5 linked regions of the Macaca fascicularis genome follow. The protein of the gene in region 3 purifies or fractionates together with the protein of the main gene of each other region. This does not show direct contact. Links are inferred from orthologs where the notes say so. Each region holds a gene or a part of one and is shown on either strand. Other genes may lie near its edges. The genes, in order: SHPRH, SLF1, RAD18, POLH and SLF2.

Evidence for each region.
Region 1: the proteins of RAD18 (region 3) and SHPRH purify together in Homo sapiens (affinity purification with western blotting; 3 studies listed by BioGRID and IntAct, with this or other methods). This does not show direct contact. The link is inferred for Macaca fascicularis from reciprocal best matches to the Homo sapiens genes RAD18 and SHPRH.
Region 2: the proteins of RAD18 (region 3) and SLF1 purify together in Homo sapiens (affinity purification with mass spectrometry; 4 studies listed by BioGRID and IntAct, with this or other methods). This does not show direct contact. The link is inferred for Macaca fascicularis from reciprocal best matches to the Homo sapiens genes RAD18 and SLF1.
Region 4: the proteins of RAD18 (region 3) and POLH purify together in Homo sapiens (affinity purification with western blotting; 7 studies listed by BioGRID, with this or other methods). This does not show direct contact. The link is inferred for Macaca fascicularis from reciprocal best matches to the Homo sapiens genes RAD18 and POLH.
Region 5: the proteins of RAD18 (region 3) and SLF2 purify together in Homo sapiens (affinity purification with mass spectrometry; 3 studies listed by BioGRID and IntAct, with this or other methods). This does not show direct contact. The link is inferred for Macaca fascicularis from reciprocal best matches to the Homo sapiens genes RAD18 and SLF2.

Annotation. Positions count from the first base shown.
Region 1 is NC_088378.1:53,799,333-53,805,470, forward strand, and holds part of SHPRH (E3 ubiquitin-protein ligase SHPRH), read right to left. Parts: intron 5,548-6,138; coding exon 5,397-5,547; intron 3,943-5,396; coding exon 3,834-3,942; intron 3,236-3,833; coding exon 2,979-3,235; intron 1,405-2,978; coding exon 745-1,404; intron 1-744. UniProt on the Homo sapiens protein: E3 ubiquitin-protein ligase involved in DNA repair.
Region 2 is NC_088380.1:98,620,698-98,626,835, forward strand, and holds part of SLF1 (SMC5-SMC6 complex localization factor protein 1), read left to right. Parts: intron 1-4,360; coding exon 4,361-4,474; intron 4,475-4,641; coding exon 4,642-4,717; intron 4,718-6,082; coding exon 6,083-6,138. UniProt on the Homo sapiens protein: Plays a role in the DNA damage response (DDR) pathway by regulating postreplication repair of UV-damaged DNA and genomic stability maintenance.
Region 3 is NC_088376.1:147,138,063-147,144,200, reverse strand, and holds the end of RAD18 (E3 ubiquitin-protein ligase RAD18), read left to right. Parts: intron 1-4,142; coding exon 4,143-4,245; 3' UTR 4,246-5,740; downstream 5,741-6,138. UniProt on the Homo sapiens protein: E3 ubiquitin-protein ligase involved in postreplication repair of UV-damaged DNA. Postreplication repair functions in gap-filling of a daughter strand on replication of damaged DNA.
Region 4 is NC_088378.1:127,932,375-127,938,512, forward strand, and holds part of POLH (DNA polymerase eta), read right to left. Parts: intron 3,490-6,138; coding exon 3,272-3,489; exon of another isoform or gene 3,143-3,271; coding exon of another isoform or gene 3,109-3,142; intron 1-3,108. UniProt on the Homo sapiens protein: DNA polymerase specifically involved in the DNA repair by translesion synthesis (TLS). Due to low processivity on both damaged and normal DNA, cooperates with the heterotetrameric (REV3L, REV7, POLD2 and POLD3) POLZ complex for complete bypass of DNA lesions.
Region 5 is NC_088383.1:109,901,493-109,907,630, forward strand, and holds part of SLF2 (SMC5-SMC6 complex localization factor protein 2), read left to right. Parts: intron 1-392; coding exon 393-495; intron 496-1,813; coding exon 1,814-1,990; intron 1,991-3,502; coding exon 3,503-3,600; exon of another isoform or gene 3,601-3,610; intron 3,611-4,227; coding exon 4,228-4,315; intron 4,316-6,138. UniProt on the Homo sapiens protein: Plays a role in the DNA damage response (DDR) pathway by regulating postreplication repair of UV-damaged DNA and genomic stability maintenance.

The sequences.
Region 1 (6,138 bases), on a different chromosome or scaffold from region 3:
ACTTGCTCAAAACTGATGGAACTAAGACTCAAAGCTTTGCCTACCCACACGGAACAGAGCTTCTTAACAGCAAAAATTGTTTTACTTATTACTGTATTCTCCATGCCTATGTAGAGTGGATGAAATATAAAAACCTTCAGTAACATTTGCATGGAAAGAAGGAAGAATGAAATTAGTGATGGGTATTAATATTAGGAAACAATAATATTACTATGTGCCCAGTACTTGATGAAATCATATAATCTTCACAAATGACTGGATACTATTTTTAAAACTCAGCACAGTTCCTGGCACATAATTTAAGTGGTCAATAAAGATTTGCTGTATAAGTAAACTCTTATTTTACAGCTGAGGTAACTGAAGCTTTAGAGGATGATTCTGGAGCTAAGAGATGGCAGGTCAGATAAGTAGCTCCTATACCACAGTGCTGCCTTTGGATTGCATTTCTCTCTGAAGACTATAAATGCTTATACCAAGATTTTTTCATTTACATACTCAAGAATTTTTAAAAAGTGTTCACATCTTTATATTCAGAATGCTTAAACTGCTGAAATTCTGATGTTAGAAAAGAATAACACTGTACTGTTCTAGTTCTTAGTCTCGATTTTTTTCTTTAAGCTTTAACATTACTTTAAATCATTCAGTTAGTTTTGAGGATAAACAACAAAGAAACAAAGATTCGGAAACTATCATGAACAAGAAAAACTTCACATCTTCCTCTCCCTCTAGTCCAAGTGGCCTTACCAAGACTCGAAGAGATGATGACCTCACATGCCTGTTGATCTCATCCACCCACTGGTGACAGATGGAACTTGGAGAGATGATCAGAGTTGCTCTTGTTGACACTGGCTCCATTGCAACAAGGCAGTGGGGGCAATAAAAAGGCTTGATCTTCAGATTTTTCTCATCATAATTCACGCACTTTGCATGCTGCCACAGGTGACACTTCAGGCACTGAACACGAGGCTTACGATCTATCTGATCAAGTTCACCACATATGCACTCAAAGCGATAATCAGAGGTGTTAAAGGGACTCATGGTATTAGAAGGTGGCACATCACTAACATCAGCATTTAGAGATTCAGCACAGTCCTCTGTTTCATTTTCTTGGTTGAATTCAGAGATACATGTACTTTTAGATATAGCAACATCAGTTATTCCGGAGTTGCTAGTAGCTGGACAGAGACCTTGTGAATGGGGATTGATAAATGGTTGACTTTTTCCCTTTTTTGTGGATGGAATAGGCTTTTTCCTCAATTTACTACGATTTCTCCTGGCCTTATAATAATAATAGTAAGGATCGTCATCATCATCAGAGGTGTTTGATGGCAAGTATTCAGAATCTGTGTCCTTGTTCCCTGATTTTCTAGATTCTTTCTGAATTTTCCTTGGACTCCCTACTGCCTATGAAAAAAATATTTAATTAATTGATTTCAACATAGTTGCACTTCTGAAATTAAACGCCTGACTTTATGTAAGTACTTCATATAAAAATCTAGCAGCCAGTCTTTGCTACCCTTTTCCCTGAGGAGAATCACTCCTGATAAGTGGTTTCCAATCTGCCCTCTGTAAGGACCCTCACTTTATCGCAAAAGAAAAGGAAGGCTCTACAAGTATAAGATTTGAAGAGACAAAAAGTTAGGAAGATAAAGGAAGCTACTGATATTTTGTTATTAACATACTATGATTTAGTCTGCCTAAATCAATACAAGACTAGTACTTTCAAGTACACAAATACACAAATTGGGGCAACTACAAAAATACCAAGTACTAACATATTGCATCCAAAGAAAGTAAAAGATAATCCACTGATTACTGCAATTAGCAAATTGATTCCTTCTTTCCTTCCCTTTTCTACATGTGTCCTCTCTTATAATTACTTATTAAATGCCAATTCTGTGCCAGTAGTTGTGTTAGATGCTAGGGACACAAATATGAACAATATTTGGCCCCTGGTCTCAAAGGGGTCTACTGGAAAAGTGAGAACAGTAAAAAGTAAAATGATGCTATAGGAATACCTAAGAGGGTTGTACAACATAGTGGGAGTATGATAGGTAGGTAGGTAACAGGGACAGCTTCCTCCAAGTGATATCAGGGCTGAGGTCGAACAGCGGAGTTAAGACACAACATGTATTCAATGGGAAATTTTCTCGTTTTGGTGGTAGCAGGATTACCAAAAGCACAGTTGATTGCTGTCTTCAATGCTACCCAAGGACAATACCAGACTTTCTACTCCAGGAAATAATTTTTTTGTCTTTTTCTTGGTGGCCAAGCTGCTAGTTCCACATTTTGACTTGTTGTCTTTAGTCTTTATTTATGATTGCAAATATTTTAACTATTTTCCTAAAAGCAAACTGAAATTACTGGCCCAACAGAAGCAGTTTTCTAACAAAATGCAGAAATTTTATAAGATAATAATATAAAGAAAATAAGAATTTAGTAGTTCCAGACCTGCCTGGGCAACACAGTGAGAACCCCATCTCTACAAAAAATAAGAAAAATTAACCAGGCATGGTAGCATGAGCCTGTACTCATAATTACTTGGGAGGCTAAGGCAAGATGATAGCTTGGCACAGGAGTTCAAGGCTGCAGTTAGCTATGACCACTGCATTCTAGCCAGGGCAATAGACAGACGCCTTGTCTCTTAAAAAAATACTAAAAATAAATAATACAGAAGATGCTTTAGACTCTATAATACGCTTAGCCAACTAATTTTATAATTCATTCAATAAATATCTGAGTATTTGTTATGTGCCAAGCATTATCCTCTGGGTTTAATGATAGCCAAAATAAAGTTACTCTCATGGAGTTTATATCCACAAAGTAGAAAATATAAGTTACAGATATAAGTACTCTTCCTATTTTGTTTTTTATCTTCAGATTGTAAGAGTTTCAGTGTCAAGGTGGGATCTGTCAATGTACTCGGTAAGGTATCACATACGTGTACTTAATATGCAGCTTAACTTAAGCTCTGTTACCTGCTTTTTTGTTTTATCACATATATCTTCCTCCTTGTAATTCTTTCCTAATGTAAAAGTCCCAGAAAAACCATGGCCTTTGATCTGTTTCACGAGACCTTCAAAAATTAAACATTTCAGCATCCGTTTCAAAAGACTCCTGTTCCGTTGAACATCGTATCTATATATAGAACTGACATACTTATAGATGGAAAGGATGGACACTCCTTTTTTTCCATTCATTTCCTTCACAGCTGTCAGGATCATCACACGTGTAGCTAAATGTAAAAGGATATGCTAATTCAGTCAAAATAATTAAAATGAAAAGAAAGTAAAACTTGGTTAATCTTAATCTGCATGAGGACTGAGTTAAGAAAAAAATAAATCAAAGATTTATTACAACATAGTGTCATTTTGAAAAAATATGTAATAAAAATGTATCTCAGCATATTAAGAAACAAATTAGTGTAATACAAATAATTGAAGGAAGAATTACTCATATTGAATTGTTAATGTTATAAAACAACAATCATTCAGAATTATAAAAGAAAACTCTCACAATTATGTAAGTATACACAATGATTAGTATATGAAACGTTCATTTCCTAAAAGATAAATAAAGCCTGGTTTAAACTGCAAGCTAAAGAGATTTAAATACAACAGATTGAGCAAGAACTACCTGGGCCAAGTCAAACAAAAGAATACATCTTTACTTTTGTTAAGATATTATGACTTGTAATTGAATTCATTTATGAAAAGCATACATAACTGTAAAAACAATTATTTATAACAATTACAAGATATCTCTAAGGATTGCAAGAACTTTAGCAAAGATCACTACAAAAAGGTATTTCCCTTAAGAGATGTCATACTTACGAGGGCATTGAACTTTTTCTTTTGGTTCAAATTCGATATTCTGGATTTCTGTCTCTTTCAGTTTTCCTCCAAAATAATGTGACGGAATAAAGTAATTCACCACTTTTCCCTGATACAAACAACAGTCAGTAGTTACACAGTGTTTTGCTCTCAGTATTCTGAATTGTTTATTGAAATTAACTTTCCTTCTTTATGGAAATGCAAAACAGTTGTAAAAAACTTGCAAGAGAAAGGGCCAAATAGCTGTAGATACATACATTGTTTTATTTCTGAGTTTACAGCTAGCTATCACTTAAAAAATATGTGCATATTATCTTAAATTACCTAAATGATATGTGTGGAACCTCCAAAATTAAGTTTTTTTTTTTTTGAGACGGCGTCTAGCTCTGTCACCCAGGCTGGAGTACAGTGGCGCGATCTCGGCTCACTGCCAGCTCCGCCTCCCAGATTCACGCCATTCTCCTGCCTCAGCCTCCTGAGTAGCTGGGACTACCGGCACCCGCCACCACGCCTGGCTAATTTTTTGTATTTTTAGTAGAGACGGGGTTTCACCATGTTAGCCAGGATGGTCTCAATCTCCTGACCTCGTGATCCGCCTGCCTCAGCCTCCCAAAGTGCTGGGAATTACAGGCGTGAGCCACCATGCCCGGCCTGAAATTAACTTTTAAAGGTATATTTAAATATAAAATTAACCCATTGAATTTATAATAATATGAAAATAACCTGGAATTAAAGGAGTAATGAGTAGGACATCTCAGAGAGAAGTTACTGAGCTAAATCAACATATTCCAAGTCACACTTCTACAAAGAAAACATAATTTTTTCTATTTCCTATTCAAATCTGAAAGGCTAATTCTGCAAACTTGACCCTACTGAAAGATAACATAATGCTAAAGCTGTGAGACTGGTGGATCCTGGATGTAATTAATTATAATTACACCTTTAACTACTGACTTCATTTCAGCAAGATTTAATGTAAACGCTGATTTTGGATTTCATTACTAGAAAATATGAGCTATATACTATATTTGCCTTAGTGGATTTTGTTTCTGTAACTCCAAAATTTATATTTTTATACACAATTATGTATTTTGGGACAAGGACTTGAAATTTGTTTCATTTAGCAATCTATTTACTAAGCTACCTGTTCTTTAACAAAGTTCTAATTATTTGGTTCTAAGATTTATATATCTGAGATTTGTACAATATTTTTAAATAGCTCTTAAAAATATTTAGTAGTAATATGGAGACTTTATTAGTGACAAAACATTTGAGGAGTCAACAGTACTTTTTAAAGGAGTTTCTCTGCCAACTAGAAGGAAGTTTAGTAAGTGACTGCTAATTCTCTTCCAGGTTGGCCAACATTACTTAAAAAATAAACCTTCTGGGTCACAAACACCCCATTCTCTCTGCCCACTTGAAGTTAACTAACCACTAATATAAATCATTACCCACAGAGTGAACAGAAAGTGTTGACTTAAGTGCCAAGCAAATGTTCAACATATGATGCTTTTCGAGAACATATGTCCCTTGCTTTTGCAAGCCCTACTGTACCCCTCCTACCTCAGGAAGAGTGAGAGTATCTTGTTTGACATCTTGTCGAGTATGTGTCAGAATCAGAGCCAAAACCTCCACTGTCTTTCCAAGACCCATCTCATCTGCTAAAATTCCACCAAGCAACTGCAGCCCACAATTTGGGTACTCACGAATGATGCTAAGGAAAAAAAAAAAAACAAGATAAATCACATCACAAGAATGTGAATACAAATTATACTTTTTCTAAAGAGAACTGGAAGCAATGCATAAAGTCTAAGTTTACTGAAACTGTATTTTAGGGTAAAATAATTCAAACCTTAGATTACGAACATAAGAAATGTGATAACCAAAAAAACTGCCTGAGCTGACAAGTAACTCCGCAGAAATGAGTGGCAGTCAAAAGGGAACATGTCTGCCTTCTTTCTATGACCTTTATGAATCTATGAATAAAAAGAAAAATACAAAGGGCAATAACTACTGATTCATTCATGATGTTTAATGATTACTAAGAAAAAAAAAAAAAAAAAAACTGGCCCCATAATAAACAAGATAACATTTTTACTTAGAATAATAATCTCTTTAAATCTTGATAACTAAGCACCTTATGTCTATTATTCCAAATTCATTCACTGAAAAATGACAAGTGCTATTAATTCTAAATCTATCCTATCCATAGAGATGTCTAATAAGACTTCACCTTTGACTCCTTCATGAGGTAAAGCCAAAGTTACAGATATGCTAACAATCTCAGACAGTTTTTCATTATATT
Region 2 (6,138 bases), on a different chromosome or scaffold from region 3:
AGATGTTAATTATTACTACAGAAGGACATTTTCTCATAACTAAGAATGTCATAAAAGTTTAACTTTTTTGACAGTAAAGATAAAACTTTTAACTGTAAAAAGTCATGCTGTCTTTTTTGCTTTTTTCCCCCCTCCATTTTTTGGTGTTAGGACAGTATCTTCTGTATGAATGCTCCAAGGGACACCCCCCATTAGTTCTATAAAGATCTATAATTTTTCTAGAAATAACCACTGGTACAATTATGGTATATTGACTTTCCTTCTTGTGCTGGAAGACTTCTAGAAGTTAGCTCTTGATCCTCCCTATCCCAGACATATCACTTGCACTAAACTTGACTGTACTTTAAAGGATTTTTAATTGTCTGGGTTTGATATGTATTAAATCAATTATAGTGCTCTTTTTGGCTTCATTGACATATCAGGTTTATTGTATTCTTAATCCTGCAGGGTCAGAAAGAACCGTCAAACCATGAATTTTATAAATCAATCAATCAATATATCTATACATGTTTATATTTATTCCTACATATACAGTTTTCCTGTGTAACTGCATGAATTAGATCCTATAATCCAAGTCATTCACTTGTCATATCATGTGCTGTAGAAAAGCATTACTAAATGTATTCTAAACTCTCTTGTTTCAAGGAGATAATTTTATTGTAGAAAACTGTTATAAAACTGTGCTAGTTATTTTGGGCCATCACTGGGATTCCTGATTCTGTTAAAGTTTAGCTAATAGCTCAGTTTTTTTGATAAACTTGTGACTAGAATATCCTGTATTCTGATTTGTTTTTAAACATGCACAGTTTACGGATAATGTTTGAATCAGGAAATTCTATTTTTTCACCTTTGTTTCCTGCTTCCCTTTCCTCTGCATGTTTAATTTCAGTTTCATATTTAATCATTTTCAAAGGAAATAAATTGCTTTAAAGGGGTTTCCTGATTTCTGCTATTATGCAGTTAGTCCTATTTTCATTTTACTATGGGCTCTTGTTTTGACAGAAAATGCTGTTAAATATACAAAGTGGGTTATTTCCATCGTATTTATTTTATTATAAAGACCATATGGTTTAAGATGAAAACTTTGCTTTACACACTAACTCCAATAAATCCAAATAATTTAATAATTTATACTTGAAACCAGAATACATTAAAATGTTACGTTGTTAATAATATTCAAATTGTAAAATAGCTGTTAACATGATCTGGAAACAGCAATGTAGGATATGTTTCCTTTATTTCTGTATAACTTAATTCTGAGAAAGCAGAATAATAAAATTTAAAGGACAAACTTTAAATAAAACTCTTTTGGGTAACAGTGTTATAACAATTTTTTTACTATTTTTTGTATATTCCGATTACTTAACATTAGTTTTTTTGTGTCAATTTTTAGAATAATCAGGCAAGATTTTAGATTTTTTAAAACCACTCAAACTTCTTTGGCAATATTCCTGAAATAGCCATTAAATAGCCCTTGAAACTCTAAAATACATTAAAAATATACAAGTAGTAGGAAAAGCATATGTGCCTGTAATCCCAGCTACTTGGGAGGCTGAGGCAGAGAACTGCTTGAACCCAGGAGGCAGAGGTTGCAGTGAACCGAGACAGCGCCACTGTACTCTAGCCTGGGCGACAGAGTGAGACTCTGTCTCAAAAAAAAAAAAAAAGCAAAAAAAAAAAGCCAGGTGTGGTGGCGGACGCCTGTAGTCCCAGCTACTCGGGAGGCTGAGGCAGGAGAATGGCGTGAACTGGGGAGGAGAACTTGCACTGAGCCGAGATTGTGCCATTGCACTCCAGCCTGGGCGACGGAGCGAGACTCCATCTCAAAAAAAAAAAAAATTGGATGATTAATACAGTAAGGGGTTCCTTATACAAGAAGCTTAATTTATTTACTGATGAAACTGTTTCATGTATATGATTAATTTTTCATAAGAGACCAATCCCTAGTATGTGCACTTAAAAATTTTACACTGACTAGACCAAATCCCTGTAACTTTTTAATAAAAACATTTATTTCATTGGAGAGCCTTATCTTTAAGGCACTTTCTTATGTTCTGTATCTGAGTTTTAGAGGGTTAAAGTACATTGTACCTCTTTGCCCCTTTTGCAGCCAGTTGAGAAATGCAAAAATCAGATAAATTGAGGTTGAAATATCAGCTTTTTTATTGAGTAAACATTGCTTTGAAGATGATGGTTTTTGTTTTGTTTTGTTTTTCCCTCATCCTTCTGCAAGAAGGCAGTGGTTTTGATATGGAACCATAGTGTGCTTCCTAGTACATAGCCTCTGAATTGACTTACCCACACAGGCAGTGCAGGACTACTACTGGCAGCTCCTTAGGATGTGTCAGAAAGCATCGATATGGACCTTCTTTGCAAATATGCAGATAGGCTGAGCAAAGCATATCCATTTAGTTGTCTCAAGGAGCTTCTCCAACGAAATGGGGAGTGATGAAGGGTAGAGAAAAATTAAGAGTGCAGTTACCCTAGCCGAACTTCCTCCTCTTCAAAACTCTAAGCAAAGAAATAAAAGTTCACTTCTGAGTAATGCTTTAAATTGTTTATATTGAGACTTTCTTTCAATTTTTACTCTTAAATGAATCCCAACCTTTATATATGTTGTATTTATATGTCTTTAAAAGCAGACTTTTGTGAAGAATGTTTCTCACTTTACCAGTTGTGTGCTATTAGTTATGGGCTCAAATCATTACAGTTTTTGAAGTTTACTTGTAATTGTATTGAAAGAAGTCATGTTTCTTTGGTTGTTGAAAATAGCTACTGTTGTTATTCTAGCTATGACATTAGTTAAATATTAATAATCCATAGCTATGATGACCAAATTGTTAGGGAAATGAAAAATTGCCCTGATTTCTCTAGTCCCTGCTTTCCTTGTCTGTGAAAAGATTGAGATTTTTCTCTAAGATGCTATCTAGATCTCCAGTTCAACCTCATGTAAACAAATAAAATTGTATTCTGATGAGAAATTCTATGAGTTATGTACTCCCTAAACACAAAGTACTTTTTGTGAACTACATTAAAATATGGATTGAGGGTCCCTATGAAAATAAACTTAGATTTTAAAAAAAGTGATTTTTCAGTTTACCTTGTAAATGATGAAATTAACATATATATATAGCAAAGTTAAGAAATATAGATTGCAAATAGGATCCAGGATTATTATGTGTACACACTTTACTAAATTATTGGATATAAATGCTGTGAGACCATGAGTTCTATTCACTTCTCCGGTAATGTGTACATATTTAATATCTGTCCACAGAGGCTTTAAAGTCTTTGTGGAGCATAAAATCTGATTGTTTCATTGTCTGTAAGTTTCAAAAGCTCTTAGCGAACAACGGTAGTTTTTTTTTTGTTTTTTGAAATGGAGTTTCGCTCTTGTTGCCCAGGCTGTGTAGTGCAATGGTGCGATCTCAGCTCACCACTACCTCTGCCTCCTGGGTTCAAGAAATTCTCCCACCTCACCCTCCCGAGTGGCTGGGATTACAGGTATGTGCCACCATGCCAGGCTAATTTTGTATTTTTAATGGAGATGGGATTTCACCATGTTGGCAGGCTAGTCTCAAACTCCCGACCTCAGGTGATCTGCCCGCCTTGGCCTCCCAAAGAAAGTGCTAGGATTATAGGCATGAGCCACCGCTCCCGGCCAACAATACTCTGTTTGTTTGTTTGTTTATTTTTGAGATGCAGTCTCACTGTGTCGCCCAGGCTGGAGTGCAGTTGTGTGATCTCATCTCATTGCAACCACTGCATCCCAGGTTCAATCGATTCTCCTGCCTCAGCCTCCTGAGTAGCAGGGATTAAAGGTACCTGCCACCACACCTGGCTAATTTTTATATTTTTAGTAGAGGTGGGGTTTCATCATGTTGGCCAGGCTGGTCTAGAATTCCTGACCTCGTGATCCGCCTGCCTTGGTCTCCGAAAGTGCTGGGATTACAGGTATGAGGCACTGCGCCCGGCCCAACAATACTTTTTAAATGAAGCTTGTATAACATTATTATGCCAATATTTGTATAACATTCTGTCATTTTCTGAGGAAGAATATTTATTCATCAATGTGTTTTAGTGTCAAGTAACGTATTAATCCAGACTTTCAATGTTCAAATCAGAAAGAAAAAAAACCCCTCACTTTTTTAAGGCCACATTTTGAGAAGATAACTTTTAAAACTAGTTTCTATCGTATGTAAGTAATTTTAACATTGTTTTAAGAGTTATGCCTAACGTCTTTAATTCATTATATGTTTAATAGTTTATTTTTAGTACTCATAATTAAGAAAAAATAATGATGTCAACCCTGTGAATAATATCTTTAACATGTTATCTTCTGTACGTTTGTATTTGCTAGATGGAAGATGGTGCCCCAAAGCATATCATCCAAATGACAGGATTTAAGATGGAAGAAAAAGAAGCGCTAGTCAAATTACTTTTAAAACTAGATTGCACTTTTATTAAGAGTGAGGTAAGAAACTTAGCAAAATGTTCAAGGTATATTTGAAAAATAACTAGAATTAAAATGCTGGCCTAACAATGATAAAATGCCTTCTTGATATTGTAACAATAAGAAGAATGTGTTATAAAGGCAGTCTTACTTTAGTAACATTTCTTGATGTGGATTTTTCCCTCCAGAAATACAAAAATTGTACACATCTTATAGCTGAACGCCTATGTAAGAGTGAAAAATTTTTAGCAGCTTGTGCAGCAGGTAAGTTAACTGTCTTGCCCCAACTTTTGAAAACAATCTTCATGTTAAAGAAAAAGTATTTTATTCTCTGGAGAGATAGCATATTTATATATCAAACCTCAATGTGTTTTTCTGATATTTTTTGAAAATATTTAATTTTTTTTTTTTGCTTATTCTTCTGAGTAAAATTCTGTAACACATGAAAAATGTATTAAATAGGCAAAAATATTTACCTCAACAAGGATTTAGTGTGTTTTATATAAGACAAAAAAAATACATTAACTAAAAGACTGGCACAAAATGTCAAAATCTTAAGCTTTTGTTAAAGTCTCAGCTGTTTTCAGTCAAGTTTTCTTTCATCTGTCATTTGATACAGTCAGTGCTTTTGTTCTCTCTCTGCTGCTTCTATCCATATTATGAAACAATGGTCATACTATTTTATTTTTCTAAGATATTAAATTCTATAGATCCAAATTAAGACTTAGTCTTCTCCTGTATCGTTTTGTAATTTATAGCTTTCTCTATTTTTATAGCTTTCTGTATTGTGATTGATCTAACATATCATTAGTCTACTGATTGCAAAAAAAAAAAAAAAAGTGTGTGTAACTTGGGTGAATTTATCCTTTTTTAGATTAACTTACAAGGAAAACACTTGCATTCGTTTTTAACTTTACAAATGAAAACATACATTGTCCATAGTGTTCAAAAAGATCATTGATGCCCAGATAAAGAAACTGTTGGTTGCGTGCGGAGGCTCATGCCTGTAATCCTAGCACTTTGGGAGGCCAAAGCAAAAGGATCACTTGTGCCCAGGAGTTTTAAGATCAGCCTGGGCAACGTAGCGAGATCTCATCTCTTTAAAAAAAAAAAAAAAAAAGTTATAAAATGACCTGAAAAATTCCTTAACTCAATAAATTTGTTTTACAGAGTAATAATGCTGTGAACAATATTGGAAAAGCTGTTAGCATAGGAGGAAGAATATAAATCTAACCCAAAATAGTGAATAATGATAGTAATAATAATTCAAGTAATACCACATTTTATTTTGGATTTTAAAGCTTTAGATTTATGTTTAGAATTATAGAATTGTAATTTAGAATTATATTTAAATGAAACTATAATTATAACTAAGTTATAACTATGGAATTATATTTAGAATTACAATTATTTGTCATGGAAAAGATTACATACAGTGTTCAGTGATATTGTAAGCCTCTCACTATCAAAAAATTTCCCCAAAATGCATAGTTCAAAGATAATGTTAGCAGTGTCGCTTAAGAGTCTTATCTTGAAAAAGGTTGACTTTTATTTTATAATTGATCTTCGTTGTTTATCATTTATCAGAACCAAAATTCCTTTGTGACTGACAGCTCATTTGCTTTCTAGGAAAGTGGATACTAACCAAGGACTATATAATTCATAGTGCCAAAAGTGGCAGATGG
Region 3 (6,138 bases):
TCTTCCTCTCCCTTACAGTACCTGTCTTTTGGGCTCTGCCGGAGTTAACACTTCTCAGCCTTGTCGGAGTGGTCACCTTACAGGCTGTAATTGTTTATAAGAAATAAAGGCTCCTTTCCAAATTTGTAAATTTGATTTTTAAGCTAACACCACTTAAAAACCTTGCTAACTCTTTGTGTCTATCTCATAGTGCCTTTAAAATAAAATTTTAGAAAATAACTTTCTCTAATCTTATAAAATCAGAAAAGGAAGAATTATTTTCTCTATTAATAGTCTACATTTCATCTTAAACCCATGAGAACTTGTTTGCATGCACTTATGAGCCTGTCATGTTTGTTAAATGATACAATTACTGTAATTGAAAGTACTTGCAGCAGGAAAACAGTGAATCTCATGTTTAAAAAAATGAATAAAAGGAAACTCAGGCCTGTTTACAGTGGTCCTTGATCTGACCACTCTCTCTATGATCAACATGAGGCAAGGAGAGCCACACACCAGGAGATTCTTTCTATGGACCTACCAAGAAGGAAAGTAGGTCATCCTGGAAATAATGTGTATTGGAAGCAGGTTAATAATGAATGGCTGGCTCTCCTAAGGCATGTTTTTGCATTCAATAGATTCAGTACTTTAACAGTAGATAGATTCAGTACTTTAACGGTAGATGCCTCACTGTGGCCCTCCCCAGGAATATCCTCTCATCTGGCTAACATGCTATTGTCAAATTTTACTAAAAGAAATTCATTAGTAATACCTGCTGGAGACCAAGAATTTTAAAACCTGCTGCACCTGTGAGATCTTACTAAGTGTTATTCCAGTAAGTCAATGCGTTACATGCATGGAAAAAAATATGGGTTGGGTTATTCTATTAGGATTCTTGTATCTTAGGGGATGAGGTGTTTTAGAGAGTGTTCTGGGAGTACCACTGAAATACTCCTTGCCAGGAACTCCCCTCCTAAGGAAGTGGAAGAAGTATAGATGACTTCTTCCGCTACCTCAATAGCTGTGTCTGTTGCCAGCTATCATAAAGGCAAATCAAAGAGGGGAAACATGGAAAGAAAATATTACTGAAAAATGTTAAAGGATTATTAAAAACAAGGTATGAGAATAAAGAGCAATAAAATAGAAGTTAAAAGTAAGGAGGAACATCCCACTAAATTTTAAGCCTTAAAAATAATCAGAAGTCAAATAAGTAAATGATAATAAAACATTAAGATAAAAAATTTGACATGGTGAAAGTTGAGAGATTTTTAAGAACATAAACTAAAACATGAAAAAAAGTAAAAATGATAAGAGTGATAGCAAAAATGGTGGAAATTCTCTGCTCCATAAATGCAGTAATAAAACTGCAAAAATTGTCGGATTCAACTTTTCGGAAAACTCTGAACATTAACCAAAGGCAGCAGCACTTTAGGGGGCATTGATTCAAGAAAATGTCTGAATCTCAGTGAGAACAGTGAGTTTTGTGGTGATTCATCTGGTTTTGTTCTCATCCTTCTCTCTCTAGTTCCTCTGTGGCCTTGGGAGCCAACAGTCTGCAGTCATGGTGAGGACCAGCAGGCTGACAGCCTGCAGAGAAGGCAGAGTAGGGTTGGAGCCCCTTTAAAGCCACATTCCTGGAGAATTTTTACTTAGCCTATCTAATGGTTCCCTGGAAGACTCTACTTGCCAAGACTATCTTTACTTTACCTGACTTGGAGCTTGCTCACTTCAAAAAGCCTTTTCTCTAAGGGTATTTGTTGAATGCAGTTAGAGATGTTTGGCTAGCTTTGTAGCTGTCTGAGGTGGTACATAACAATTGGGGCAAATGATATGCTAACCAAAAAGCCTAATAGTAAAAGCTGAAAAGTAAGATTTCCATGGGGGTTTTGAACAGCTGTAAAATATTACTGGGAATCTAGAGGGTCACTCTCATTCATAGAGCTTCTGTGCATACTTAGGATAGACCTAAGGAAGCACTAAGCTTTCACCCCTGGTTAACCATGAGGCTGTGTGCAAGCAGGAAGTAGAGGCTAAGGCAGAGTTGTCCACTGAGTGTTGAGTGAATGTTGATTGCATGCCCCAGCATGCACACAGAGCCCCTCAGCAAAGACTGGTTTTGCTAAGAGTTTCTGAATGATACTGGTTCCAGAGGTCTAAGGAACTGTTCAATCATTAGTGGACTACAAAGCTAATCAAGCAGACACTTTTAGTTGCCATACACAACGAAGAATACGTATTTATAGGATTGGTTTAGAAACGTCACTAAACAATAATAGCAAACAGCAACAACAACAAATCCTGGAGAGATCTTATTGGTTGGTTGTTTATTTTTGGTATTTATCATGATTGGGGTTCTTTGACCAACTTTGATCTTGATTTGATGTGTTTCAAATTTTTAGAAAATCCACAGCCATATGTATTTACATACTTATTTTCCACAGTTCTTTCTCTCCTTTCTTCCAGGCATTCCAGTTACACACATATTATGCCATTTTTATTGTCTCACAGCTCTGGCTGCTCTATTCTATGTGCACACCCTCACACACTCCTTTTTCTCTTTGTATCTTAATCTGGATGGTTTTTATTGACATCTTCAAGTTCACTAAGTCTTTTTATCAACTTTATGTATTACACTTAAAGCCTATTGAAGGAATTTCCATCTCAAAATGGGTTTTTTTCCTTGCATTATTGTGTATCATACTTTTTGAATGCTGGCCATACAGTGAAGGACCATAGGGACTGAGGTCAATAGTGTTTGTGCCTAGAAATGGGTATCCTTCTATTGGGTCATTAGTGTTGGGAGTTGAGCCAGGTAATTCAGAGTTGACCTGGGTTGGAGTTTCCTAGTGACTAATGTGACCTTCAGTGCATCCACTTCAAGTTACTCTAGCAGATGTCTGCTTTGACTTCTGCTTAGTGTTGGGGCTGGATTGCCAGAGGGTTTGTCTCACTGATTTTACTCCCATTTTCCTTTCCGTCATGCTTACTTGCCTGCACCCCATAGGGGCATATCTTCACCATGTTCGTATCTCTCCCTCAGCCATTTCCTGCTCCTGCTTATTGCTTGGTGCTACGCTCATGGTGGGAAACAGCCAAGGTTCACTGTTATCTCAGTCCAGCCTGAGTCTTAGGTAGGCCCTGTGAGCTTAGGGATGGGCCTTTCTCAGCACTTCTGCCTCCTCCCATGGTATCAGGCTACCTTGACCAAACCTCTGCTTGGTGTCAGTGTAAGGTCATCAGCTGGAGATGATTTTCTGCCCCTCCTGTAAGGTAGAGGTTTTAGTTTCTACATTTCCCCTGCCGCAGTGAATCTTTGCCTGCGTCCCTGCAAATGAGGTCATATGCCTCCCCTTGAGACAGACTGATTTCACCTCTGTTCCTTCTCCAGAGGCCATGGGTCTTTGCCAGAGCCCCAGAGTGAGTTTCCTATGTTTCCCTCAGCAATTGAAAAGCTTATGCTTCATGGGAGAGAAGCATTCAAGAAAGCAGGCAGGACTTCTTCTTGTCCCCAGTAGCCACTGAAGTGGCCCCTCTCCATTCTCCTGCCCTGCTCCCAGTCTTCTTGTGAGCACCTGACGGAGGCTCGTGGAAAAGAGCTGGCAAGTGTGTGCAGACTCTCCTTGTGTCAGTGGCCCGCAGTACTAGCCTGTACTTAAGAAATTAGGAAAATCTTAGCTGATTCTTCTTCCCTGTTTGTATGGTAGCCACCTCGTTCTCCAACACTCTGCCAAAAGTGAGAGACGTGTGGCCCATCTTTGGAGGGGCATATTTTTCTTTGGAATTTTGCTTTCTTAGTTCCTTTACAACCTCAGGTCTCTGAAGGATCAAGAAGAGTTAAGATTTTGTTAGACTGCCTGGCTTTTTCTTGTTAGGATGGGAGCAGCTTTTTGTTTACCTTTTCTTTTCCAGTCCTCTACATGCTAAACAGAAGCATAAAACTCCTAAATTTTAATTCAGCAAAAGGGACTATCTGTAATCCTTGCTAATTCACTAATTCATAAAGTGGAAATACTAATAATAACAATTATGAATTCATCCACAGAATAGAGGGTTATTTCGAGGTTTTAATGAAATAATACCTGTGGAAACACTTGTAAACTAGAAACTGCTGTAGAATAATAATCATTACTTTCTAAGATGCCATTTCTTTTTTCTGTCTTCAGAAACGATCTTCAAGACACAGAAATAAGTCCAAGACAGAATCGCCGCACAAGAGCCGCTGAAAGTGCTGAGATTGAACCAAGAAACAAGCGTAATAGGAATTAGTGTGGGCTTTTGCTGACTTTTCAAATGCAGTGATTAGAATAAGGTACTTTTGGTTGCCACAGACAGATTTCCTGTTTATAAATGCCCAAGGAAAGATGCTAAATTCTAAATATTATGGTCAGCTGATGTTCATTCTTTTCTGCTTTTCCAGAGGGGAAAAATATTACAAAGTATCTGTACTTGGTCAGTTGCCTCCTTCCTCTAAAACATCTCTATCTAAAAATACTGACATTTTACACAAGCACCAGCTTTGCAGAGTAGGCAGACTCTTTGGCACTTTGGCAGAGGGATTTGGTTTGGTTTGGTATAGTTTGGTTTGATATCTAAATTTCAGAATGTCCTTAGGCCATTCTCCTTCTCTTCCCTGGAGAATCCAACCTCACAAAAGGATTCTTTCAACCTCTTTATTACAAGAAACAGTTGAGTTAAATGTTTATGTTTTTGGAAAGGCAGGATGTCAGTTCACATCCTTGGTGTGTGTAAGTACCAATGCAGGCCACCACCATGCCTGTGGTACAGCAGCTCCATGATGGTTGTTGCCCGAGGTTAATGTAGTTGTTTGTTAGACCTGTGTCTTACACATTTCTCAGAGTAAGATATTAGTATTATAATTTAAAGCCACAACAGTCAGAAAGTCACAATAACTTAGAAACATTGCACATATTCTTCTGAAATAGCACTTAAAAATGATTAGTGTATTTTTTCACTTGGGTCAATCAAATCTGTAACACTGAATCCAAGCTATTAAACAAAAAAAATATGCAATGAATGAATTTTGTAAATGAATAGAGTGTATCAGTTTACAATAATGTTCTTAAAACAGGATCCTCTGGATAGCTGAGTATGGGTTAGAAATCATTGAAATGGATTGGTCAGAAATTGCTATCTGTGTGTAAAATGTCTACCAGTAGCCAGATGCTTCCGGAGTTCATAATGCCTCTCTGGCATTTCAGAGCCAGCATTCCCCAACTCCCACCCCTCTGCCACCACCCATTCCAAACACATCATCTTTCAAATGAGATGACAGCAAATGCAGCAATGTTAAGACAAGAAATTTGTAATTTGCCAGGTTCAACATTTATGACCTCCCCATTCCAAAGACTGTCTCTGTTGACCTTGGCTTTTTGATGTGCTTTGGGGTTTCTGATAATGTGCAGAGTCTCATTATGGCTGAAAGTTTAGTGTTTTCACAGTGAAGTCCAGACATTTGATTTCTTTATGAGTTCCTTGTGTTAGAAATGACTATAGAAAAATTTGTCATAATAATTTCATTTGCTTGAAATCCTTAATGGTGCATTAAGGAAACTAAAAGCACCACTTACCAAATCCATCAGCAGAACTGATGTGAGGTAAGTGAGCATGTCAAACAAAATTGGGGCTCACATGACTATATTTATGTCACTGAGTTGTCAGAAATTATGTCAAAATGAAAACTGCTTGTTTCATGACAAATTACACAGTCTGTAAATTAAACTGGAAGTAATTACTACTTTAACTGCAGCAAAAGGAGTTTGTGAGGGAGTGGTGAGACCCAAGACTGGGAAAGCAGGCACATGAGTTCATTCAGCAAATATTTAGTTATCTACTTAGTTATATATCTGTCACTGTACTGACACTGGGAATACAAAGGTGGCCAAAGATCAGCTAGAACAGTGGTTCCCAGTGGGGTGGGCAGAAAGATTTTGCCCCCCAGGAGATAGCTGGCAATGTGTGGAGACACTTTTGGAGGTGGAGGGTGGTGAGGGGTACTACCAGTATCAATGGGTGGAGGCCAGGGATGGTGCTAAACATCCAACCCTCACGTGTTAGTTTGCCAGGGCTGGCATCACAAAATACTACAGACTGGGAAGCTTAAACAACAATTCTGGAGGCTGGAAGTCCAAGATCAGTAGG
Region 4 (6,138 bases), on a different chromosome or scaffold from region 3:
ACAGGCGTGTGCCACCACACCCAGCTAATTTTTTTGTATTTTTAGTAAAGACGAAGTTTCACCATCTTCGCCAGGCTGGTCTTGAACTCCTGACCTCGTGATCCACCCACCTCAGCCTCCCAAAGTGCTTGGATTACAGGCGTGAGCCACTGTGCCCGGCCACAAAAGCAAGTTTTTATTGTTCTAATTCTATTCAAATATAAGAAAAAAAAAATTAACCTTCAAGTACATGTTATTAAAACACTTCATACAGATTGTATCACAAGTTTTTTTCAGATAGATAAAGTAAAAAATGAATTTATTTTAAAAAACCCATTTATCATTTCCTAACACATCAATATCCAAGTAGAAAACAAAAGCCTGGCCGGGCGCGGTGGCTCAAGCCTGTAATCCCAGCACTTTGGGAGGCCGAGACGGGCGGATCACGAGGTCAGGAGATCGAGACCATCCTGGCTAACACGGTGAAACCCCGTCTCTACTAAAAAATACAAAAAAAAAAACTAGCCGGGCGAGGTGGCGGGCGCCTGTAGTCCCGGCTACTCGGGAGGCTGAGGCAGGAGAATGGCGGGAACCCGGGAGGCGGAGCTTGCAGTGAGCTGAGATCCGGCCACAGCACTCCAGCCTGGGTGACAGAGCGAGACTCCGTCTCAAAAAAAAAAAAAAAAAAAAAAAAAGAAAAGAAAAGCCTGGGCAACATAGTGAGACCCTATCTCTACAAAAAATTTTAAAATTAGCCAGGCATGATGGCGCATACCTGTAGTTCCAGCTACTCTGCAGGCTGAGGTGGGAGGACTGTTTGAGCCCAGGAGTTCAAGGCTGCAGTGGAGCCATAATTACACACCTGTGAATAGCCACTGATAGCCACTGCACTCTAGCCTGGGCAACATAGTGAGACTTCCATCTCCAAAAAAAAAAAAAAAGACAAGGAACTAATAATTAGGATAGGATATACAAGGAACTCTTGCAAATCAAAAAATAAATAATTTTACCATTTGTCATGGAAAAATGGGCAAAGATTATAAAAAGGTAAATCACAGAAGCAGAAACTCAGCTGGCTTACAAGTGTATGAAAAGATCTTCAATCTCAATTAGTAATCACAGAAATGTAAATTAAAACAAAACAAACAAACATTATATTGGCAATTATTTATTTATTTATTTTTTTTTTTTGAGACAGAGTCTCGCTCTATCGTCCAGGCTGGAGTGCAGTGGCGCGATCTCAGCTCACTGCAAGCTCCGCCTCCTGGGTTCATGCCACTCTCCTGCCTCAGCCTCCCAAGTAGCTGGGACTACGGGCGCCCACCACCACACCAGGCTAATTTTTTTGTATTTTTAATAGAGACGGGGTTTCACCATGTTAGCCAGGATGGTCTCAATCTCCTGACCTCGTGATTCACCTGCCTCAGCCTCCCAAAGTGCTGGGATTACAGGCATGAGCCACTGCGCCTGGCCAGCAAATTTTTTTTTTTTTTTTTTTAAGACGGAGTCTCACTCTGTCGCCCAGGCTGGAGTGTAGTGGCACGATCTCGGCTCACTGCAAGCTCCGCCTCCCAGGTTCACGCCATTCTCCTGCCTCAGCCTCCTGAGTAGCTGGGACTACAGGCGCCCGCCACCTCGCCCGGCTAGTTTTTTGTATTTTTTTAGTAGAGACGGGGTTTCACCGTGTTAGCCAGGATGGTCTCAATCTCCTGACCTCATGATCCGCCCGTCTCGGCCTCCCAAAGTGCTGGGATTACAGGCTTGAGCCACCGCGCCCGGCCTATTTTTAAACATTAGATGATATGAGTTGTTGAGAATATGGGGGAAACAGGAACTTTTATGTACTCCTAGGAGGAATGTAAACTGTTACAGTAGGACATTAGAAGCAATCAATGAATTTGTCACCAGGGAAAATGGTCTGTAAACATGGTGGGTCCATATCATGGATTATGCTGCAAGTAACAGCCATCGAAGCCAGCAATTACAAATAAATACAGCCACATGGAGAGATCTCTAAGGTCACTACTGAGGGAAAATTAAGAAAAAGAATGAGATCTATTAATAGCACAAAATCATCTTGTAATTAAAAAGCACATATACAAAGCAATACTGGGTAACTTATAAAGATATAGGCCGGGTGCGGTGGCTTACGCCTGTAATCCCAGCACTTTGGGAGGCCGAGGCGGGTGGATCATTTGAGGTCAGGAGTTCGAGATCTGCCTGGTCAACATGATGAAACTCCGTCTCTATGAAAAATACAAAAATTAGCCGGGCTTGGCGGTACATGCCTATAATCCCAAATACTCCGGAGGCTGAGGCAGGAGAACTGCTTGAACCGTGCAGGCGGAGGTTGCAGTGAGCTGAGATCGTGCCACTGCACTCCAGCCAGGGCGAGAGTGACGTTCCATCTCAAAATAGAGAAGAGAAGAGAAGAGATATATACACATCTAAGATATATCAAGTATATCAGTGGGTACAAGAGGGTGAGGGGGGTACAGAGGGAGTGGGAAAATCACTATGAAGGGTAAAAGTAGCAAAATACAATGAGAAGGGCCTTGTGCAGCCCATGTAATAATGTGCTATGAAGTGAGTAGAAATTTTGAATCACTCAACTCCCTATACCTGAGGTCCCCCTTTAAAAAGCTCACCCTTCTTATATATTAGTTAACCAAGACACTAAGTTACAATAATAAAAATTAAGCCACCAATGACAAAGTGCTTAGTCAGCCTTCTAGTGATTTTTTTGTTTTTTGAGATGGAGTCTCCCTCTGTAGCCTAGGCTGGAGTGCAGTGGTGAGATCTCAGCTCACCGTAACCTCTGCCTCCTGGGTCCTGGTTCAAGCAATTCTCCTGCCTCAGCCTCCTGAGTAGCAGATTACAGGCACGCACCACCATGCCCAGCTAATTTTTGCATTTTAGTAGAGATGGGGTTTCACCATGCTGCCAGGTTGGTCTTGAACTCCTGACCTCATGATCCACCCACTTCAGCCTCCCAAAGTGCTGGGGTTACAGGCGTGAACCACCGCGCCAGGCCTCTGCCTTCTACTGATAACACTAACCTGCCCTAGTTACATCTAAAAGAGAAATTTACTTTCATACAGATTTCACAGCTTCTCAACAGCCATATACCTGGAAAGATAAGAAAATTTGTATATGCTTCCATGTAAGTCCTTGTGATTCATTCAGGCTGTAGTTTAAGTTTCCTTTCAATTATTCCATGGAGAATCAGCATGACCAAGCAAAGCAGGTTCCAAAGGCAGGAAGCAGAAGCAATATGATGTTATGGAAGTACCTTTCTGAACAGTCTCTTCTGCTGTTGTAGGGCCTTGGGGCAACCCTTCAATGTAAGTGCTTGGCAACAAGTCTGCTGAGATAGGCTGACCTTGTAGCTTTTGTAGTCTCTCTTGTACAGAACTGGTCAGATCTACGTAAGCCTCATCAATGCTGGCACGTTCAATCACAGCAAAACGCGACATTATCTCCATCACTTCAACACTGGCTTCCCGGTACCTAAGAAGTGTAAGGATCATTCATGCAGGCAATAAACAGAGGCAACCTTGAGATTGTCTGCTCCACTCCCACCCTGCCATAATGAACAATAATATACATAATCAAGAGACATGTGGCTTAACAGAGACTAGAAAGTAGTAACTGAAAGGGTCAACAGGCAGGCAGATGGTCAATAATAGAAGCATGGAAAAGGAAGAACCACGGAGGCAAATATTTTTAGCACAATGCCAGAACTACCAAGGTAGAAAGCATTCAGACTATGAACACGTCTATATGACAAGGAACTCTATAAAAAATAAAGAAATGCCTCACATTTGTGTATTACTGTGATCACCTATTCTTTTTATTTTCATATATCCACCAAGAAATCTTCTGCTTCTAATTTTGTCTCAAAAAAAAAAAAAAGGGTGATTTACATGGAACACTGCACTGATCAGTGAACCAGAGCATATGGTCTTCCCCAGGATAATATTTCTCACCATAAATTAACAAACTGGCATATGGATTTTATACTTCAGTCAACGGTGAGTTTGGTTAACATGTAAACTGGTCATCACCACATACACACACATGCCTTAACCAACCATTTATGGATATACTAATATTCAAATTATCAAACCGAAGATAAGCACCTAGAATGTGGTGATATGTCTGGGTGGGCAGACAACCGTCCTCAGGGTATACATACCAATCTCACCATATGTCTTCTATTCAAACTTTAATAAGCAGCTCTTCTGCCTGTATAGCTAGTTTTCTGTGACAATATACAGATATTTTGTTCTTTTCTTTTTTTTTTGAGATGAAGTCTCGCTCCTGTCCCCCATGCTGGAGTGCAATAGCGGGATCTGGCCCCACTGCAACCACTGCCTCCTGGGTTCAAGCGATTCTCCTGCCTCAGCCTCCCAAGTAGCTGGGATTACAGGCGCCTGCCACCATGCCCGGCTAATTTTTTAATATTTTTAGTAGAGATGGGGTTTCACCATGTTGGCCAGGCTGATCTCAAATTCCTGACCTCAGGTGATCCTCCCATCTTGGCCTCCCAAAGTGCTGGGATTACAGGCATGAGCCACCGCACCCGGCCACTATACAGATATTTTCTTTGCTTTGGTTTGGACCTGCTTTGTAGTGTCCAGTTCTTTGTTCCTATTGAATTTACATTTACCATAAAAATGAAAACACTGGTACCTCTTCACCATGACACCCATAAAAACCAGTATAATCATTGTTCTAAAACATTCTCAAATTAGAGAAACACTTGACTTTTTTTTTTTTTTTTTAATCATTATTTGAGCCAGGAAGAAGACAGGCCTCAAAGAAAATAAAGAGCAAGACCAAGCACGGCGGCTCACACCTGTAATCCCAGCACTTTGGAAGGCAGAGGTGGGTGGATCACCTGAGGTCAGGAGTTCAAGACCAGCCTGACCAACATGGAGAAACCCCGTTTCTACTAAAAATACAAAATTAGCTGGCATGGTGGCATATGACTGTAATCCCAGATATTCGGGAGGCTGAGGCAGGAGAATCACTTGAACCCAAGAGGCGGAGGTTGTAGTGAGTCGAGATCCCACCATTGGACCCTAGCCTGGGCAACAAGAGTGAAACTCCATCCCCCACTCACAAAAAACAAAAAGAAAAGAAAAAAGAAAGAGCAATATGCTCACGTACAAAGCCAGAAAAGGATACTTGCAATATTGTGAAATATATATTGGGTCTTCATCTCAGTTTCCTGGCATACAACTCCAGAAATCCTTGGAATCACCCAAGTTTTGTCTTTTTGTATGCTAATGTTGAATAATAGCTTCAGAAGGGTTGGAACCTTTGGCCCTACCCCTCAACTTCTGGGGAGGGGAGAGGAGGAGAGGTCTGCAGGTCAAGTTGATCACCTATGGCCAACGGTTTAATCAGTCATGAGTACATAATGCAGCCTCCCTAAAAACGCAAGAGGACAGGGTCCAGAGAGGTTCCAAACAGCTGTAACGGTAGAGATTCCTGGAGGGTGACTCATCCAGGAAGGGCATGAAAGCTCCACACCCCTTCTCACATGCCTTGCTCTATATATCTCTTCATCTTCCTGTTTTTTTTGACAGGATCTCATTGCTGTCCAGGCTGGATGCAGCGGTTTGATCATGACTCTCTGCAACCACAATCTCCTGGGCTCAAGTGATCCTCCCACCTCAGCTTCCCGAGTAGCTGGAACTAGAGCTGCATGATACCATGTCTGGCTAATTTTGTGTGTGTTTCTTTTTTTTTTTTTTTTTTTTAATTTTGGTAGAGATGAGGTCTTACTATATTGCCCAGGCTGGTCTCGAACTCCTGAGCTCAAGCAATCCTCCTGTCTCAGCCTCCCAAAGTGCTCAGATTACAGGTGTGAGCCACCATGCCCAACCTAACTGTATCCTTCATAATATCCTTTATAATAAATCAATAAACATAAGTAAGTGTTCTCCTGAGTTCTGTGAGTCACTTCAGCAAATTAATCCAAAGAAGGGATTGTAGGAACCCCAACTTAAAGCCAGCTGTTCAGACGTTCTAAAAGCCTGGACTTGTGATGGAAAGGAAGGAGGGGGTGTTCTTGTGGTACTGAGCCCTCAGCATGTGGAATCTGAAGCCATCTCCAGGTAGACAGTGTTGGAATTGACTGGGAGGACA
Region 5 (6,138 bases), on a different chromosome or scaffold from region 3:
ATGAATTCTTTTTAGTCAGAACCATCTTCTACATAGCTCTCTAACACCAAGAGCAAGGAGGATAGTACCATATAAAACGTAGTTTGTTCAAGAGAAAACTGATGCATAACGATAGAAATGATATTAGTGTTTGCCTTGAGTCAGGGATAGCAGATTGACTTGGATTTGGCATAAAGAGATTTTTGAGGGGAATGGAAATGTTCTACTTCTTGATTAGGATGGTGGTTACATTAGTATATATGATTATCAAAACTTAAAATGGGTACATTCCTTTTATTGTATGTAAATTATACCTCGATAAAACATAGTTTTTAAAAAGTAGCCCAGTATTTCTTAAAGTGAGTAATATATTTTGTGCCTAACTTCACATTGCTTTACTCACTTCTCAATAGTTCTGAAACACAGACAACATCAAGGGGAAAAGAAAGTGAAGATTCATCTTATAAGCCAATTTTTTCAACACTTCCTGAAACCAACATTTTAAATGTGGTTAAGGTAGGAAAAAACTTTTGTGTGTCTTTGGCTCAGAGCTAGAACCATTTGGTCTGTGGTTAATGGTTTTTTGAAAAAAAAAAAATCTCGGCTGGGCACGGTGGCTCACGCCTGTAATCCCAGCACTTTGGGAGGCCAAGGCGGGCAGATCACGAAGTCAGGAAATCGAGACTATCCTGGCTAACACAGTGAAAACCCGTCTCTACTAAAAATACAGGCCGGGCGCGGTGGCTTACGCCTGTAATCCCAGCACTTTGGGAGGCCAAGGCAGGCAGATCACAAGGTCAAGAGATCAAGACCATCCTGGCTAACATGGTGAAACTCCGTCTCTACTAAAAATACAAAAAAAAAAAAATTAGCTGGGTGTGGTGGCGGGCACCTGTGGTCCCAGCTGCTCGAGAGGCTGAGGCAGGAGAATGGTGTGAATCTGGGAGGTGGAGCTTGCAGTGAGCTGAGATCACGCCACTGCACTCCAGCCTGGGCAACAGAGTGAGACTGTGTCTCAAAAAAAAAACTCTAGTTTCTTACCAGGTGATTTCCAGTCTCTGAAATTTCTTAGCAATAATCTTTGTATTAAAGATTGTTTTTGCTGTTTTTGTGTTGTTTTAATATTAGTGATGAACAGGAACTTTAGGTCAGTTACATCATTAAATAGTTTTGAAACCAATAGTTTTTTATAAGTAGGATGTATGAAGAAAGAAGTCTTACAATATAATTTAGTGATCAAGCATTAATGGCAGAGGCCGGGCACGGTGGCTCATGCCTGTAATCCCAGCACTGTGGGAGGCCAAGGCGGGTGGATCAGCTGAGGTCAGGAGTTCGAGACCAGCTTGGCCAACATGGTGAAACCCTGTCTCTACTAAAAATCGCAAAAAAAAAATTAGCCAGGCATGGTGGCAGGTCCTGTTATCCCAGCTACTGGGGAGGCTGAGGCGGGAGAATCACTTGAACCTGGGAGGTGGAAGTTGCAGTGAGGCGAGATCACACCACTGCACTGCAGCCTGGGCGACAGAGTGAGACTCCGTCTCAAAAAAAAGAAGGTCAAAAAAAGTTAATGACAGTGTGAAACATTTTTAGTTGCTGAATTGAATCGGTGTTACTGAACCATTAAGAAAATCTCAAAAATGGAAAATGGAGAAGAAAATGCCACTTAATTCAACTATTAACGTGGAGTAGTTCTTGCCTTCTTTTGTCTAGACATCTGATGTTTGTTTTCTTTATAGTTCTTTTTTGCGTCTTTTGTCAAAAAGTTTATAATTAAAACCCTAAAAATAAAATACACCTTCTAAAATATTTTTGTCTGTGCATTTATGTTAAACAGTTTCTAGGCTTGTGTACATCTATACATCCAGAAGGTTACCAGGATCGTGAAATAATGTTGCTGATTTTAATGTTATTTAAAATGAGTTTGGAAAAACAGCTGAAACAGATTCCTCTAGTAGACTTTCAAAGCCTCCTGATAAACCTGATGAAAAACATCAGAGATTGGAACACAAAGGTAATGTTACTTAAAACTTCATTATTCATTTTTTATATAGCATTACAATTTGACTCATAGTGCATATGGAATTAATACTGTTTCTAAACTCAAGATCTTTGGCAGATTAAAAATGAACTGAGGAAGAGACTGTTTGCTGGAGCTGTATTATTTAAATTCATGATAATTGAATTTTTTCTAAAACTTCAGCTCTTTATCCAACAAAAATGTGTTTATTGGGGATTTCCTGTGGACTCAGCATTAATGTAGGTGCTAGAGATTGAGCTGTGAAAGAGACAAAGCCTTTGCCTTCATGGGGCTTTTGTCCTAGTCAAAGGGTTAGATAAACAAGTAAATGTTGATTATATTATCATGTCAGGTAGTAGTTAAGTACTACAAATTAAAATAAAGCAGGACATGAGTACAGCAAGACTGGATGCTATGCTATTTCATATAAGGCAGTCAGGGAAAGGCCTTTCCAAAATAACCTTGGAGCAGAGACCTAAATGAAATGACGGAGTGAGTCATACCTACAACCAGAATTTGAGTTGAACTTCTGCAACCATATGGAGGATGAACATGTATAATTTTTGTTAGGACTTTTTAAAAATTATATTTTTCAGTCTTTTTTGGTGGAAAAATTAAAATAGGCAGAAGTAAGGCAAAGAGTATAATAAATTCCTAAGTATCACTTTGCTTCAATAATTGAGACATAATCTTGTCTAATGTAAAACTGACCCTATATTTCCTTTCCCTGCTCATCAGATTATTTTGAAGCAACTGTTAGGCTTTTTAAAAAATTGATACACAATGGTAATACATATTTGGGGGGTGTTAGGCTTTTTTTTTTTTTTTTAGACAGCATCTCCTGTCACCCAGGCAGGAGTACAGTGATGCAATCTTGTCCCAGTGCAACCTCTGCCTCCTAGTTTCAGGTGATTCTTGTGCCTCAGCCTCCTAAGTAGCTGAGACCATAGACACACGCCACCCTGCCCAGCTAATTTCTGTGTATTTAGTAGACACAGGGTTTTATCATGTTGGCCAGGCTGGTCTCAAACTCCTGGCCTCAAGGGATTCACCTTCCTTAGCCTCCCAAAGTGCTGGGATTACAGGCATGAGCCACCACACCCAGCCAGGTGTTAGGCTTTTAAAAATACTGAAATAGGATCCCTGTGCAAGAAATCCCAAATCAGGAATATATATAGTCTTGTACAACTCTGATACACATTTATGTTTAGATCAGTTTATCCTTCCAAGAAGGACTGTTTAAAGATATGATGTAGTACAAAACATGAAAGCCAAGTGAAATTCTGCTAAATGTATCTGTTCAGTCCATTTAAGATAGTATAAGTAAAACAATCTGTGTATTGTGTACATTTTAGCAGATTCTAGACTCCATGCTATTTCTAAAAATGTGTGCCCTTATTTTGTACTAGTGCTTCCATTATGGCAAGAAGGGATGTAGATGATCTGTTGGGTGTTTGATTTTACTGTTCTGTTTGAAAAGAAATCTTACATGTTCTTTTTTTTCAGGTGCGTGAACTCTGTCTGGGCATAAATGAACTCTCGAGTCATCCCCACAACCTTCTGTGGTTAGTACAGCTGGTCCCTAATTGGACATCACGTGGAAGGTATTGAAAAGTGAGAATTAAACATTAAGAAATTTTATAATTTTAGATTAATGAAATGCCTTGGTTCTTTATTTCCATTCATCATTCTTTGAATGTTAGATCAGAGATGTTTATTTCATATTCAGTTGTGAGAAAAGGCATTGATAGCCTGATTCTTTCTTACTCTAATTCTTAACTCAGGTCGTTATGTAATTTTTTTTTTTTTTTTTGAGACAGAGTCTCACTCTGTCACCCAAGTTGAATATTTTTTTATTTTTAATTTTAGTTTATCTGTTACCTTAATACAGATGACATATTCCACAAAAATAAATGAATCAGCTTTTTTTTGCTTTAGTAAAAATAAATTTCATCAGTAAAAAAAAATAGGTTTTCTGTCAGTAAATCATCAGGGTCAAAGATAAGGCTGTTAAATGATTTACTGAGCTTCAGATAATTCAAGTTTTATGTACAAATATTTTACATGAAAATTTTACTGTTCTATAACAGCTTATATGTTCCTGTACAGACTTCTCTTGAAACATTGCCTATATTTCCAATTAGAACTAGAGCTCCTCTTGACTCATTCATTTGCTTTTCAAGCAGTATTAATTAAAATACATTCTAAATACTTTTAACTTCTAATTCTAGGCAACTGAGACAGTGCCTCAGTCTAGTGATTATTTCAAAGCTTTTGGATGAGAAACATGAAGATGTTCCTAATGCCAGTAATCTGCAGGTATAAATAAATACATTTTTATTTTTAATAAATGGGAGAGGTAATGAGAGGTATAAGGAAAATTGATGAACCCTAAGTCAAAGGTCCTGGGGTCAGAGCTCAGCTCTCAAGCATGATACTGTTCATGTAATCTCTAGCACACTTAACTAACAAGGTCCAGTTTTTTCATCTGTGAAATGGAGATAGTATTGCACCCTCCACCACATAGAATGGTTGTGGACAATCATCTCTGAATTAATGTATAAAGAAACTACTGGGAAAATCATAATGTGGAATTACATGAATATGATTTCATTTATTGAATTAGTTCAACTTGTCTAAGTTAGCAGTTTTATCGCAAACTTAGAAATTGCAAAACCATTGTACATTGATTGCATCTTTAACCTGTTTTAAAATGAGTCTTTTTAGATCATAGAGCTTAAATGTAGTTGCCCTCTAGTACTTGTTCAGTAAGAATATATCATGTATATATGAGAATGTGGACAAACATGTCCAACTGTTGCTCGGTAGTGGTGGCACACACCTATAGTCCCAGCTACTTGGGAGGCTGAGGCCAGAGGATCCTTCGAATCCAGGAGTTCGAGTCCAACCTAAGCAACATGGGGAGACCCTGTCTTTAATATATATATGTGAATTTTTTTAATTTAAAAAAATGTCCTACGGAAGTCCCTCTCTCAGAAGTTCTGAAGGCTTTTTACAAACATTGATAGCACTAATGGGGCTGCCCTTGGTTGGATTTGAAAACTCACCATAGGCCAGGCACGGTGGCTCACACCTGTAATCCCAGCACTTTGGGAGGCCTAGGTGGGCGGATCACGAGGTCAGGAGATCGAGACCATCCTGGCCAACACCGTGAAACCCCATCTCTACTAAATACAAAAAAATTAGTCAGGCCTGGTGGCAGGCACCTGTAGTCCCAGCTACTCGGGAGGCTGAGGCAGGAGAATGGCGTGAACCCGGGAGGCGGAGCTTGCAGTAAGCCGAGATCACGCTACTGCACTCCAGCCTGGGCGACAGAGCGAGACTGTGTCTCAAAAAAAAAAAAAAAAACTCACCGTAGAACCTGATCTGGATGTCCCTTTGTTCTTGTTTGAATTGCAATTTGGTACAAGGTATGCCACCAGGTCTTAGGAATTAAAACAAAACAAAGATTTAGATTTGAGGCTGCCCTTGAAAACATAATATAATGGTTGAAACAAAATTAACCAACTCTTGTGGGTTAGTGTGGTAAGAACAGTAACCGAAGCATGCAGAAGATGCTGGGGATGGAGAGATTGATGGGCACAGCTGGTTTCTGCTTTAGTAGAGTTGAGGTAGATTTGATTCCAGATATATGGGGATCGTGCTGGAGCTACCAGGGTAATTAGCAGATAGTTCTCATTCCTTTCAATGATATTTACTGCCTTCGAAAAAGATCCGGGGATAGGATTTCTACCATTTCTTTTTTTTTTTTTTTTTTTTTTTTTTTTGAGACGGAGTCTCGCTCTGTCGCCCAGGCTGGAGTGCAGTGGCCGGATCTCAGCTCACTGCAAGCTCCGCCTCCCGGGTTCACGCCATTCTCCTGCCTCAGCCTCCCGAGTAGCTGGGACTACAGGCGCCCGCCACCTCGCCCGGCTAGTTTTTTGTATTTTTTTAGTAGAGACGGGGTTTCACCGTGTTAGCCAGGATGGTCTCGATCTCCCGACCTCGTGATCCGCCCGTCTCGGCCTCCCAAAGTGCTGGGATTACAGGCTTGAGCCACCGCGCCCGGCCGGGATTTCTACCATTTCTCCTAACTTTTGTTGTTCTGTTACTTTTTCCTTTTTTGCCCATGTAAAATAGAA